Linked DNA regions of Yarrowia lipolytica. The protein of the gene in region 1 purifies or fractionates together with the protein of each later gene. This does not show direct contact. Links are inferred from orthologs where the notes say so. Each region holds a gene or a part of one and is shown in the gene's direction. Other genes may lie near its edges.

What was found.
Region 2: the proteins of YALI1_E25866g (region 1) and YALI1_B29108g purify together in Saccharomyces cerevisiae (affinity purification with mass spectrometry; 3 studies listed by BioGRID, with this or other methods). This does not show direct contact. The link is inferred for Yarrowia lipolytica from reciprocal best matches to the Saccharomyces cerevisiae genes RPT4 and RPN7.
Region 3: the proteins of YALI1_E25866g (region 1) and YALI1_B15092g purify together in Saccharomyces cerevisiae (affinity purification with mass spectrometry; 5 studies listed by BioGRID, with this or other methods). This does not show direct contact. The link is inferred for Yarrowia lipolytica from reciprocal best matches to the Saccharomyces cerevisiae genes RPT4 and PRE1.

What each region holds. Positions count from the first base shown.
Region 1 is NC_090774.1:2,584,912-2,588,546, forward strand, and holds YALI1_E25866g (uncharacterized protein), read left to right. Parts: upstream 1-1,674; coding exon 1,675-3,093; downstream 3,094-3,635. Other genes in the region: YALI1_E25859g (uncharacterized protein), read right to left, coding at 1-1,043; YALI1_E25889g (uncharacterized protein), read right to left, coding at 3,363-3,635. UniProt on the Saccharomyces cerevisiae protein: The 26S proteasome is involved in the ATP-dependent degradation of ubiquitinated proteins. The regulatory (or ATPase) complex confers ATP dependency and substrate specificity to the 26S complex.
Region 2 is NC_090771.1:2,908,701-2,912,384, reverse strand, and holds YALI1_B29108g (uncharacterized protein), read left to right. Parts: upstream 1-1,606; coding exon 1,607-3,031; downstream 3,032-3,684. Other genes in the region: YALI1_B29080g (uncharacterized protein), read right to left, coding at 3,144-3,684. UniProt on the Saccharomyces cerevisiae protein: Component of the 19S cap proteasome complex which acts as a regulatory subunit of the 26S proteasome, involved in the ATP-dependent degradation of ubiquitinated proteins.
Region 3 is NC_090771.1:1,507,933-1,511,111, reverse strand, and holds YALI1_B15092g (uncharacterized protein), read left to right. Parts: upstream 1-1,909; coding exon 1,910-2,569; downstream 2,570-3,179. Other genes in the region: YALI1_B15109g (uncharacterized protein), read right to left, coding at 1-138. UniProt on the Saccharomyces cerevisiae protein: Non-catalytic component of the proteasome which degrades poly-ubiquitinated proteins in the cytoplasm and in the nucleus. It is essential for the regulated turnover of proteins and for the removal of misfolded proteins.

The sequences.
Region 1 (3,635 bases):
GTCTCTTCGCCGACCAGAGAGTCGACACCAACAGTGGCAGCTCCCTTAACAGCTGGAGCGGGCTTCTGGGCAGTGGCGTTGGCCTTGGCTCTTGCCTTCAGAATCACTCGGTTCATTTCCATGTATGCAGACAGGTTGTTTGCTCGTGCAAAGGTATTGGAGTCCAGAACGCACAGAGACACAGACTTGAGCGGCTTCGCATGTGCCCACGACCGTCGGGCAATGTCTCGAACCACTCGGTCCCACTGTCGGCCTTTGGCCAGAATGGTGTGTGCCTCCTCCTGTTCTTGTCTGACAGGCGACGAAGATCGGGTGTCGGGATCTTCGTCTGTGGAATCCTCCTCAGGGGCAGCCTGAGTCTCGGTGATGACTCTACACACGTCGGCAGTGCAGAAGTAGACGGACGCATTGAGCAGCTGTGTGGAGACCAAAGACTTAGGGAAGTGCCACAGCATGGATCGGCGGATGGGCATGGTCTTCTTGTTCTCAATGTAGTCACGCGAATACGAGTCCAGCAGCCGCGGGGTTCGCGAGTCCAGCGATGAGTGCACCGTCACGTCCTTGAGCAATGACTTCTTGTCCACGTTCTCCAGGGTATTGGGGTAGTAGAAGGCTGTGAGAAGCGAGTCCGAGTCTCGGCTTCGGTAGGTGTCGACCAGCGAGCTGGCGGGAATGTCTGTGATAAAATCGCAGCAAACCACAATGAAATCAGAGGGTTCCCCTCGAGTCAGCTCCAGAATGAAGTCTCCAGACTTCGCATCGGTCTTGGAACAGATAGTCACGTTGGAAGCCACAACTGAGGTGGAGTGCTCAGCCTTGAAAGAGTCCACGTAGGCGGAAATCTCCGCCTCGTCAGCTGTAGAACAGCACACAAACACCTTGGGGTTGGGGATGGTCTCACACCATTTGAGGGTGTAGTCGATCACAGGCACGTTGGCCATGGGAAGAAGGGCCTTGGGCACTCCAGACGCTCTCACGGACGAGAGAGGTGCCATGTTTTTGCCCTGGCCGCACAGAATGAACACTTTGAAGTCGGCTCCCATTGTAGCAGAGGAGATTTAGCACAGAGTGGTGGTGGTGTGTGCTTTATGTGATCTTTTATGTGCTTCTTTTCAATGCTAATAAATTTCACTGCACATGGAGCTTGCATCGGAGTTTATTTGACGGGGATGGCGGTGTCTGTAACAAGATGTGGAGATATCCTATCGATAAGATAATGATGGAAGCAGATTGTCTGAGAAATTACAAGAAGAATGCACTTTTCAGATTATATGTGGGATCTATATTGGTAGAGTTGGATAGACCTATATTCAAAGTCATTCTGAAGTAAAATGAAAGATAGTTCAACTGTTGGGTGAAGTAATGTGACAATTTGGTTAAGTTACTTATACGCTTATGTAATCAATAATTAGATGTACACCTCTTTCTCCTCAATGGGGTTTCTCACTTTATTTATGGATTTGTCATTGTGTCTATATTACAGCACATCAACTACGGGTACCTCTACTAGATCTGTGGTTGCATAACCACCAAGAGCGAATGGGTCCACCCATACCCATCCAGACTCTGTTACCTCACGTAATCCTGTGGAAGGTGTCAGAATACGAGGTTTTAGAGTAGTTGTGGAGTAATGGGGATATTGAGAGCAATAAGTGAGGAATATAAAAGCGATTGATGATCATTTATTCCCCGATATTCTGTCTATATTTGTCATTACTGTACTCTCACCTTCACTCACCTCGCCACCATACGCCACTCTTCTACCAAACACTAATATTGGGAGGTGCATCACCACTTCACATATTAGAACCTCAACGCTCCAGTTACTACATCAGTACAACACACCACAACACACACAACATGGAAAACGACCCGCTGCTCGCAGCTCTCAACCAGGAGGCGCCCGAGGTGGCTGCCACACCCACAGATCCCGAGCGGGAAAAGGCGATCGAGTCGTTCAAGAGAAAACTCAAGGAGCATCGAGAGTACGAGGTCAAGCTCAAGGACTTGCGACTGGGCATCAGAGACCTCGAGCGCAAATTCGACAAGACCGAGGACGACATCAAGGCGCTACAGTCGGTAGGCCAGCTGATTGGCGAGGTTCTTAAGCAGCTGGATGAGGAGCGGTTCATCGTCAAAGCCTCCAACGGCCCCCGATACATTGTGGGCTGTCGGTCCAGCATCAAGAAGGAGAAGCTGCTGCAGGGTGTGCGTGTGTCTCTGGATATGACCACTCTGACTATCATGCGAATTCTTCCCCGAGAGGTCGATCCTCTTGTCTACAACATGACCACGTTTGAGCCTGGAGAGCTGACCTTCTCCGGTATCGGTGGCCTCAACGAGCAGATCCGTGAACTCAGAGAGGTCATTGAGCTGCCTCTGAAGAACCCCGAGCTGTTTTTGCGAGTCGGAATCAAGCCTCCCAAGGGTGTGCTTCTGTACGGCCCTCCCGGAACAGGAAAGACCCTGCTGGCCAAGGCCGTGGCCGCCACTATTGGCGCAAACTTCATCTTCTCGCCCGCCTCAGCTATCGTCGACAAGTACATTGGAGAGTCTGCCCGTCTGATTCGAGAAATGTTCGGATACGCCAAGGAACACGAGCCCTGTATCATCTTCATGGACGAGGTGGACGCCATTGGAGGACGTCGATTTTCCGAGGGAACCTCCTCCGACCGAGAAATCCAGCGAACGCTCATGGAGCTGCTGAACCAGATGGATGGTTTCGACTATCTCGGAAAGACCAAGGTCATCATGGCCACCAACCGGCCCGATACTCTGGACCCCGCCCTGCTGCGAGCAGGCCGTCTGGACCGAAAGATCGAGATCCCACTGCCCAACGAGGCCGGCCGTCTGGAGGTGTTTAAGATCCACGCTGCTGGCGTTCAGAAGCAGGGCGAAATCGATTACGAGGCCCTGGTCAAGATGAGCGACGGTTTCAACGGAGCAGATATCCGAAACGTGGTCACCGAGGCTGGCTTCTTTGCCATCCGAGACGATCGGGACTACATTGTTCAGAACGATCTGCTCAAGGCCTGCAGAAAGGTGTCCGAGAACAAGAAGCTGGAGGGTAAGCTCGAGTACGAGAAGTTGTAGTAGACTAGTTAAGCATTTAATCGCAAGTGAGAGTGTAGTTTGCCTGTAGTGCCAAAGCACTATTATGTTTCAGCTGTGGCATATGATGTATACTGATAATGAGTTTATCACGATGTTGCCATGTTCAGCTACGTTGTCAACTATTACACTCCATCGAGATCGTACTGAGAGAAAACGACCTGGTTGCTACTTGTATCATGAGCATGCTTTCGTTATAATGTCATCAATTTCCATATGAATGTCCTTCGTTATCTATGGCCACTTGTCTCTTAAGAGATCATCTCCATCACCCTATAATCATCATCCTCCACCTCCTCTGGAATACCGTGAATCGTGGCTTTGTGGAAATCCTCATCCAGTCTTCTCTTGGCCTTTGCAAACTTGTTCCCAAAGTTCTCTCCATCCACCACAATGTCCCCCTTGATGAGTTTCTCCTGTGAGACCATCCAGGCGTCAAGACTTGGGACTTTCAGATCCGGGATCGTTCTGAATGGCACAAAAAAGCCAGTCCTGAACGAGTTGAAGTGTGTGCGGTTCTTGAG
Region 2 (3,684 bases), on another chromosome or scaffold:
GATTGGAAGTACAGGAAGTACAGTAGCTCGGGTCACAACAACGGTGAAGCCAAAGGTGAATTGGAATACGTTCTACAAGTACTATTTTGGTACTCAACAATAAATCGCGTGCCATACACGTCCTGCTGGTAGCACACGTCCACCGGTTCCAGGCGCAAGTGGGTGGGATCATGCATCTTTTCGGAGCAAACTGCGTAGTCACAATGGTCTAAGAACTTTATGCCTTGACAAAGAAGAGGTGAGCCGAACGTGAGATGTGTGAGAGTACATCCTGATAGGCAGCCAGAGTGACTCAGGCAGTGGTGACTGTGTTGCAACATCACTGTGCACTTGTACTCGAACTTGAAGCATCGAACCGTTTCTGCTCCATGCTCTCCCCTCCATTACACTCTACCCTCACTAAGGTGGATTCCACTGCAGGTACAAGCTACGGAGAGAAGGTAAAACCGAGGTAGACTACAGTAAGTCTCTGGCACGATTACGATACGATACTCTTAGGGTCTGGAATTGTGATATTTTTACACCCTGCTAACATTATTCCATGATGGAACGGTCCGATGTCCTTCCCCCCCCCCCACCCGTCATCCCCCCACCCCACACCTTTTTTTGTTGCAGGTCTCGAAGTCTAGAAGAGTCTCGAACGAGGCTGGATGGGATGCTCCTATCTTGAACAGCTATACAGTCGTAGAGTATAATAACCGGTATAATGACTGATATATGTGTGATAGAAGCCTGTGTATAGTGCAAATGTCTTCTATATGTTGTCTTCGTCTCAATTGGAATGACCCACCTTCTATACAAGTTTCCAGTATGTAAGTACAGTACATATTGTACTTCTACAAGTAGTTTGTCTACATACCCACCCCTCATACCATTACACCCTTACATATTGCACCACGCAAAATCAAGTTTGACATACTTATTATTACCCCACTGAAGAGAATGTAAAGGTGGGGATAACTGAGAGAGTGTCAGGGCAATTGCTCTTTTTCTGGTGTTATAATGGGGCCAACTGTGCCGTCAGGGCTGTTCGCACTATGGTAATGATCGTACATACTGTAGCTAACCTCAGCCCTCAATCAATTCAGGAAACAAGTCAGTTCAGGGAGCATATTGATTAGTCATTGGGCGTATATAAGGGGAAATTGTTCATATTACTGACTGTATGTCTCTTTTCAAAGACATCTTTTTCATTTCCTTGTACAGTGTTGCTTCTGATCTTCTTGAGAGTGTTGAACAAGTTTGAGTGCGCCCTATTTCTCCCACTTGAATAATACTACCAGATCAACACACGCACCATCGCACGAACCACTTTAACCATGGATTTAGCAGAGAGGGAAATTTTCAAAATAATTCGAATAAAAATTGTATAAATTTAAAACCTCCTTTAAAATGAAGTTGATGCCGCCAATTGAGTCTATCAAACAGATTTTACTTGCAATTATGACCACCATTCACCTCCGTTAGTTGCCACCCAACGCCACCCACCACCATCATCATATTACCTAATGATCCCAAACTTTACCACCACATCAACCACCACATCACACAGCACGTATCACGAACCTCTCAACCCGCAACACACTACAACCACTGGTACATTGCAATGACAGAAGAGAAAAAAGCCATCCCCGACTACGAGCTCAGCAAGCATCTGTTTGTGCTGCGAAACCCGTCGCTCAAGGACCTTCATCCCGAGGCCAAGGAGGCCCTCATGACGGCCATCTTTGATCGCAACCTCGCTGGCGTCTACAAGTCGCTTTACAACTTTGACCAGAGCCAGAGCACAGAAACGTCTGGAGGCGTCGTGGTGGATGTTCCCGAAGACCAGCAGGGCCAGATTGGCCACGAGGGAGAGAGCCCCTCCGAGGACGTTGATATGGAGGAGGTCAAGGCCGAGGTGGCCGATGGCAAGACCGTGGAGGAGGTGGAGGAGAAGATTGTGGATAGCAAGCCGCAGCCCATCACACAGATCATCGTGCCTGCCAACACTCCGTCCGAGTCGTTGGCTCAGTCCGTGCCTGCTTTCTCCAAAGCCAAGTACGACAAGATGGTGGCAGCCAATGACGCACGCGTGGCCGAGCTGAGAGAAGCCATTGCCCAGGTGGAGAAGGACGACGGCGGAGAACTGGAGCTGCTGCAGGCCCGAGTCAAGCTTGGAGAGTACTACGCCGAGATTGGCGACCGGTTCAACGCCATCCTGACCCTGCGAAAGGCCGCAGAGACCACCTCTACTGGTGCCAAGATCGACATCCTATTCACCATTGTGCGCCTGGGCTTCTTCTACCTCGATTGCGCCTTTGTGGGCCGAGAACTGGAGGCCGTTAAAGTGCTTATCGAACGAGGAGGAGACTGGGAGCGACGAAACAAGTACAAGACATACTGGGGCCTGCACTGTCTGTCAATCCGAAAGTTCGAGGAGGCTTCCTCGTGTCTCATTGACTCTTTGTCTACCTTCACCTCTGTTGAAATCGCCTCCTACGAGGAGATTGTGGAGTATGCTATCATTGCTGGAGCTGTGGCTCTGGATCGAGTCGATCTGAAGCGAAAGATCATCGACTCACCCGAGGTGCTGTCTTTGCTGCCCACCACCCCTGCTCTTGGTCCCATTGCCACTCTCACCAACTCGCTGTACACTGCTGAGTACTCTGTGCTGTTCACCTCTCTGGCCCAGCTTGAGACCCAGTCTCTGCGACCATCAAAGTACCTGGCACCCCACAGAGCCTTCTACGTGCGGGAGATGCGACGAAAGGCCTACGCACAGCTTCTGGAGTCTTACAAAACGCTGTCTCTCAAGAGCATGGCCAATGCATTTGGAGTGTCGTCCCAGTTTCTGGACAACGACCTCTCTAAGTTTATTTCTCAGAACAAGCTCAACTGTGTGATTGACCGGGTCAACGGTATCATTGAGAGCAACCGACCCGACTCCAAGAACGCCCAGTACCAGGCTCTGATTAAGCAGGGAGACGCTCTGTTGACCAAGCTGCAAAAGTACGGTGCTGCTGTTCGACTGAGTGGTGCTGAGAAGTAAGGTGGTAGATGTATGAACATAGATCTTAATTGTAGATGATGATAACTAGTGAGGATATGATCTGTAGAACCATGAGTAGATATATATTGAGATATTTATATAGTTTACATGGTCAATTCCCTTCAGGCATGTAGAAGACAGGCTCGTAGACGCCATCCATAGCCAGCTTCTCTACAGCATGGATACTAGATGCCTGTCTCTCTACGGGTCCAAAATCCAGCAGGCAATTGATTTCGACCGTGATTATGAAGCGGTCCAACAGTGTCATTATCGCTTCCAGCACATCTTTCCCTTCTTCTGGGACAATTTTACTGTTGTGCCACTGAGAAGTTCTCCAGACTTGTCTGGCTTGTGCAATTGTTTTGGGAATTCCAGCACTGGTGCTTCTGATCTGCCACAGATAGTGCTCTCTTCTGTACGAGATGATCTTGAGAGCCTGGAGCACAGCTGCGTATGCCACCCGAGTTTTGGTTTGCGTTGTTCCTACTAGTGGTCCTGAAAAGTTGCACTCGTTTGACTGGCCAAAGTAACAGCCCAGACCGCCCATGGTTCCAGACTGAACACCTTGAAGAACTCCATGGCAGTATACGACTCGTTTGATGATGGAGTACTCGTTTCGCAGAACCAGCTCGTGCATGTAGGGCGAATAGAGC
Region 3 (3,179 bases), on another chromosome or scaffold:
AATTTGTTCCATGACATCGTTCATGATAGCATCATACAGCCCCTGCTGTGGAAGTCGTGGAGAAGATGAAGGTGGCACAGTGATGTCAGTTGGGGGCTCCGCGGTCGATACGGGCGAAGAGGGCTCGGATACTGTCATTTGAGCTGTAGTATATGTTGCGTGGGGTAGGTGTGCCGATTTGAGATGTCAACTGTAGAGGACAAAAAAAATGAAGGTGCAGTACGATGCTAAACGCGTCTCTCCAAGTTGGGAATCAATTTAACTCCACGCGTTGCGAAAGACGTGATTAGAGTTGGGGGGTATTATAAATGACAAATAAGACATGGGGAGATATCCATCATACTGTACATTGAGGATCAAAAAGATATTGCTGATATATACATATACTACTTACTAAAACGGTTATATTTATTATAAAGCTACCGTTGTCTGTAAAAGATGGACTTTTCCAAGGATATTTCCTTCTATTAGGCATAGGGGACTGCGACGAGTGGATGCTGGCTGAGAGTGATCGCATGAAAACAATACTGTGAATGTTCCACTGAGACTAAATGAGAGGGATGCAGGTTTGGTTAATTGCCAGTCCTATTTGTACGGTAAGATGCTTGACTGTTCTCTTCCCTACTGTGTCTATATCTGTGAGGTTCATCCAATCCTATATTCTCAGAGAGCCTTGCAGATGTTCACTCTGCATGAGTCTGTATGGTTTGTCAGTGTCAAGTGTTGCACTATTCTCCCTCTGATAGTGTAAGCATGAATAAAAACAATAGATGGTTACAGATAGTTGTATAATTCTATGAGTGAGCTTGCCAAAGATGCTACTTTCTTTAATAGCATCGTGTGGTTCTGTACAGTGGTCTATGTAACTCCTTGCCCTGTTCACATTGCAACTTCGACACTGGAGCTCGTTATACAACCTACAAGCTCCTCGAGCTCGTGTTGAAGGTATCACATCGATCTCTGCCACACAAATGTCTCTTACAGCGACTGTTCGGACATGACGGAGGGAATAATGAGGTAGCTATCCATGACGCATGACGCCAGCTACAGTACCCACTGTACATACGGTATCATCGGCATAACGTGAGTGATGGCATCGACAGAGATATGACGAGTGATCACTGAAATTTTCAATCCCCATCTTCGCGTCCCTTTACTCCCCGTGTAGCTTCTCGTTTTTGTTTCTCGTTTATATATCCCCTTTGACGTCAGTTGCGCGAAATATTGTTTGAATCGAGATTTGCAACAAAAGTGCCCTGTGGCTTTGAACATAGCCATACCGTACATGATTAAGACAGAAAATGAAACCAAAATACCTGTAAGCATTGAAAACCTGCCCTTTTATTTCCTTTTCCACTATTTGACCAACTGTTCAACCCCAAATAATGTTCAACTAACTCCATTCTTTAGTTATCCAATTTGTTATGAATGTAATTGGGAACAATGGAGACATTTTGTTCTCCGAAAAGTAGAACACCTCAATTAATTACAGCAGCTAGCTAAACTTGTCATTGGATGTCATTATAGACAGACAAGAAATCATTGATATGAACTAATAGGTGGACTAGTTTCACCTCAAATGTGTTATTGCAATCGCTTCAGCATAACCCCTACAATCAGCCTGGTACCACTCAAATCAGCTTACTAATCAGCACACCCAACGACAACAAAGACACACGACTCCAAGCAAGTGTCTCCATCTCAAACAACTATCGTCAATCAATCTTTTGCCCTTATCATTAATCATTGATCAGACCCGGTCATTCCATCCCATTGGACTAAGTACTGGTACCAATAGCACTTCATAACCGCCACCTGCACGTGACGCCACCTAACCTTGCCACCTTGTGTATCTGCATCACTACTGACTCTCTGAGACCCATCCAACACCACACTACACAATCACAAGATGGATATCGTTCTGGGACTGCGAATCAAGGGCGGAGTGCTGGTTGCCACTTCCAAGGCTGCCACCCGAGGTATTTCCGTCATCAAGGTCGGTGACGACAAGACCAGAGAACTCAACCCCAACACTCTGATGGCCTACACCGGAGAGGCAGGAGACACAGTCCAGTTTGCCGAGTACATCATGGCCAACACTCGACTGTACGGCATCCGACACGACATTGAGCTGTCTCCTTCTGCCGTCGCCTCCTTCACTCGAAACCAGCTGGCTAAGGCCCTGCGATCACGAAAGCCCTATCAGGTCAACGTCCTGATTGCCGGATTTGATCCCAAGACTGAAAAGCCCACCCTCAATCTCATCGATTACCTAGCCTCCAACGTGGAGTTGCCTTATGCCGCTCACGGCTACGCCGCTTATTACACAATGTCGCTACTGGACCGACACTGGAAGGAGGGTATGACCCAGGAGGAGGGAGTGGTCCTCATGAGAATGTGCATCAAGGAGCTGCAGACCCGTCTGCCCGTGGATTTCAAGGGCGTCTACGTCAAGGTCGTGGACAAGGATGGCATTCGAGACGTCTCTGCTCTGGTCTACCCCGACGAGTACCCAGAAGCTGAGGTGACTGAGGAGCTGGAGGTCCAGCAGGGAGAGATCGCTGCTTAATCAGTATTGTTGATTGAGCATAGCGGGATCAATGAGCGCATCTAAATGAATGGACGAGGTCATTGAGAAACTGGCGGTTTGTGCTGAGCATTGAGCTTCCTACAAGATCGCAATTGGTAGATTATAACTATTATATTTTTATGTTAAGACGGTAACAGCAGTAGAAACTGATGACGTGCACTATGTTACAAGTACAGGTACTGTACTGCAGTATGTGTCGGCGACAGTCTGGGCAGCTATGTATCTGTTAGTTAAGGCGTTCCAACCTCCGGAGGCCGCCGGAATTCCTTGGACATGAAGTATGGTCCATTGCATGCCTTCTGGTGTTCTTCGAGTTCCTCGCGGGTAAAAAATCTGTTATGGTGCTGGCAATAATATGGGTCAACAACGATCATGACGAGAGAAGTATGGTGTGTGGTTGCTGGTGGTTAGTAATGCTGATGATGCAGTGAACAATGATGGTGCAGTAACAACTACTGTATAGTTGTTTGTTTCCAGTTGTTCAATTGCGCATCCAAGTTCTTTGGTTATGCTAGTTGCTGTTGATTTGTGTGTCACGTTCTCCTCAGAGAGAGAGAATGCGATCTCGGTACTGACGGGGATTGCGATA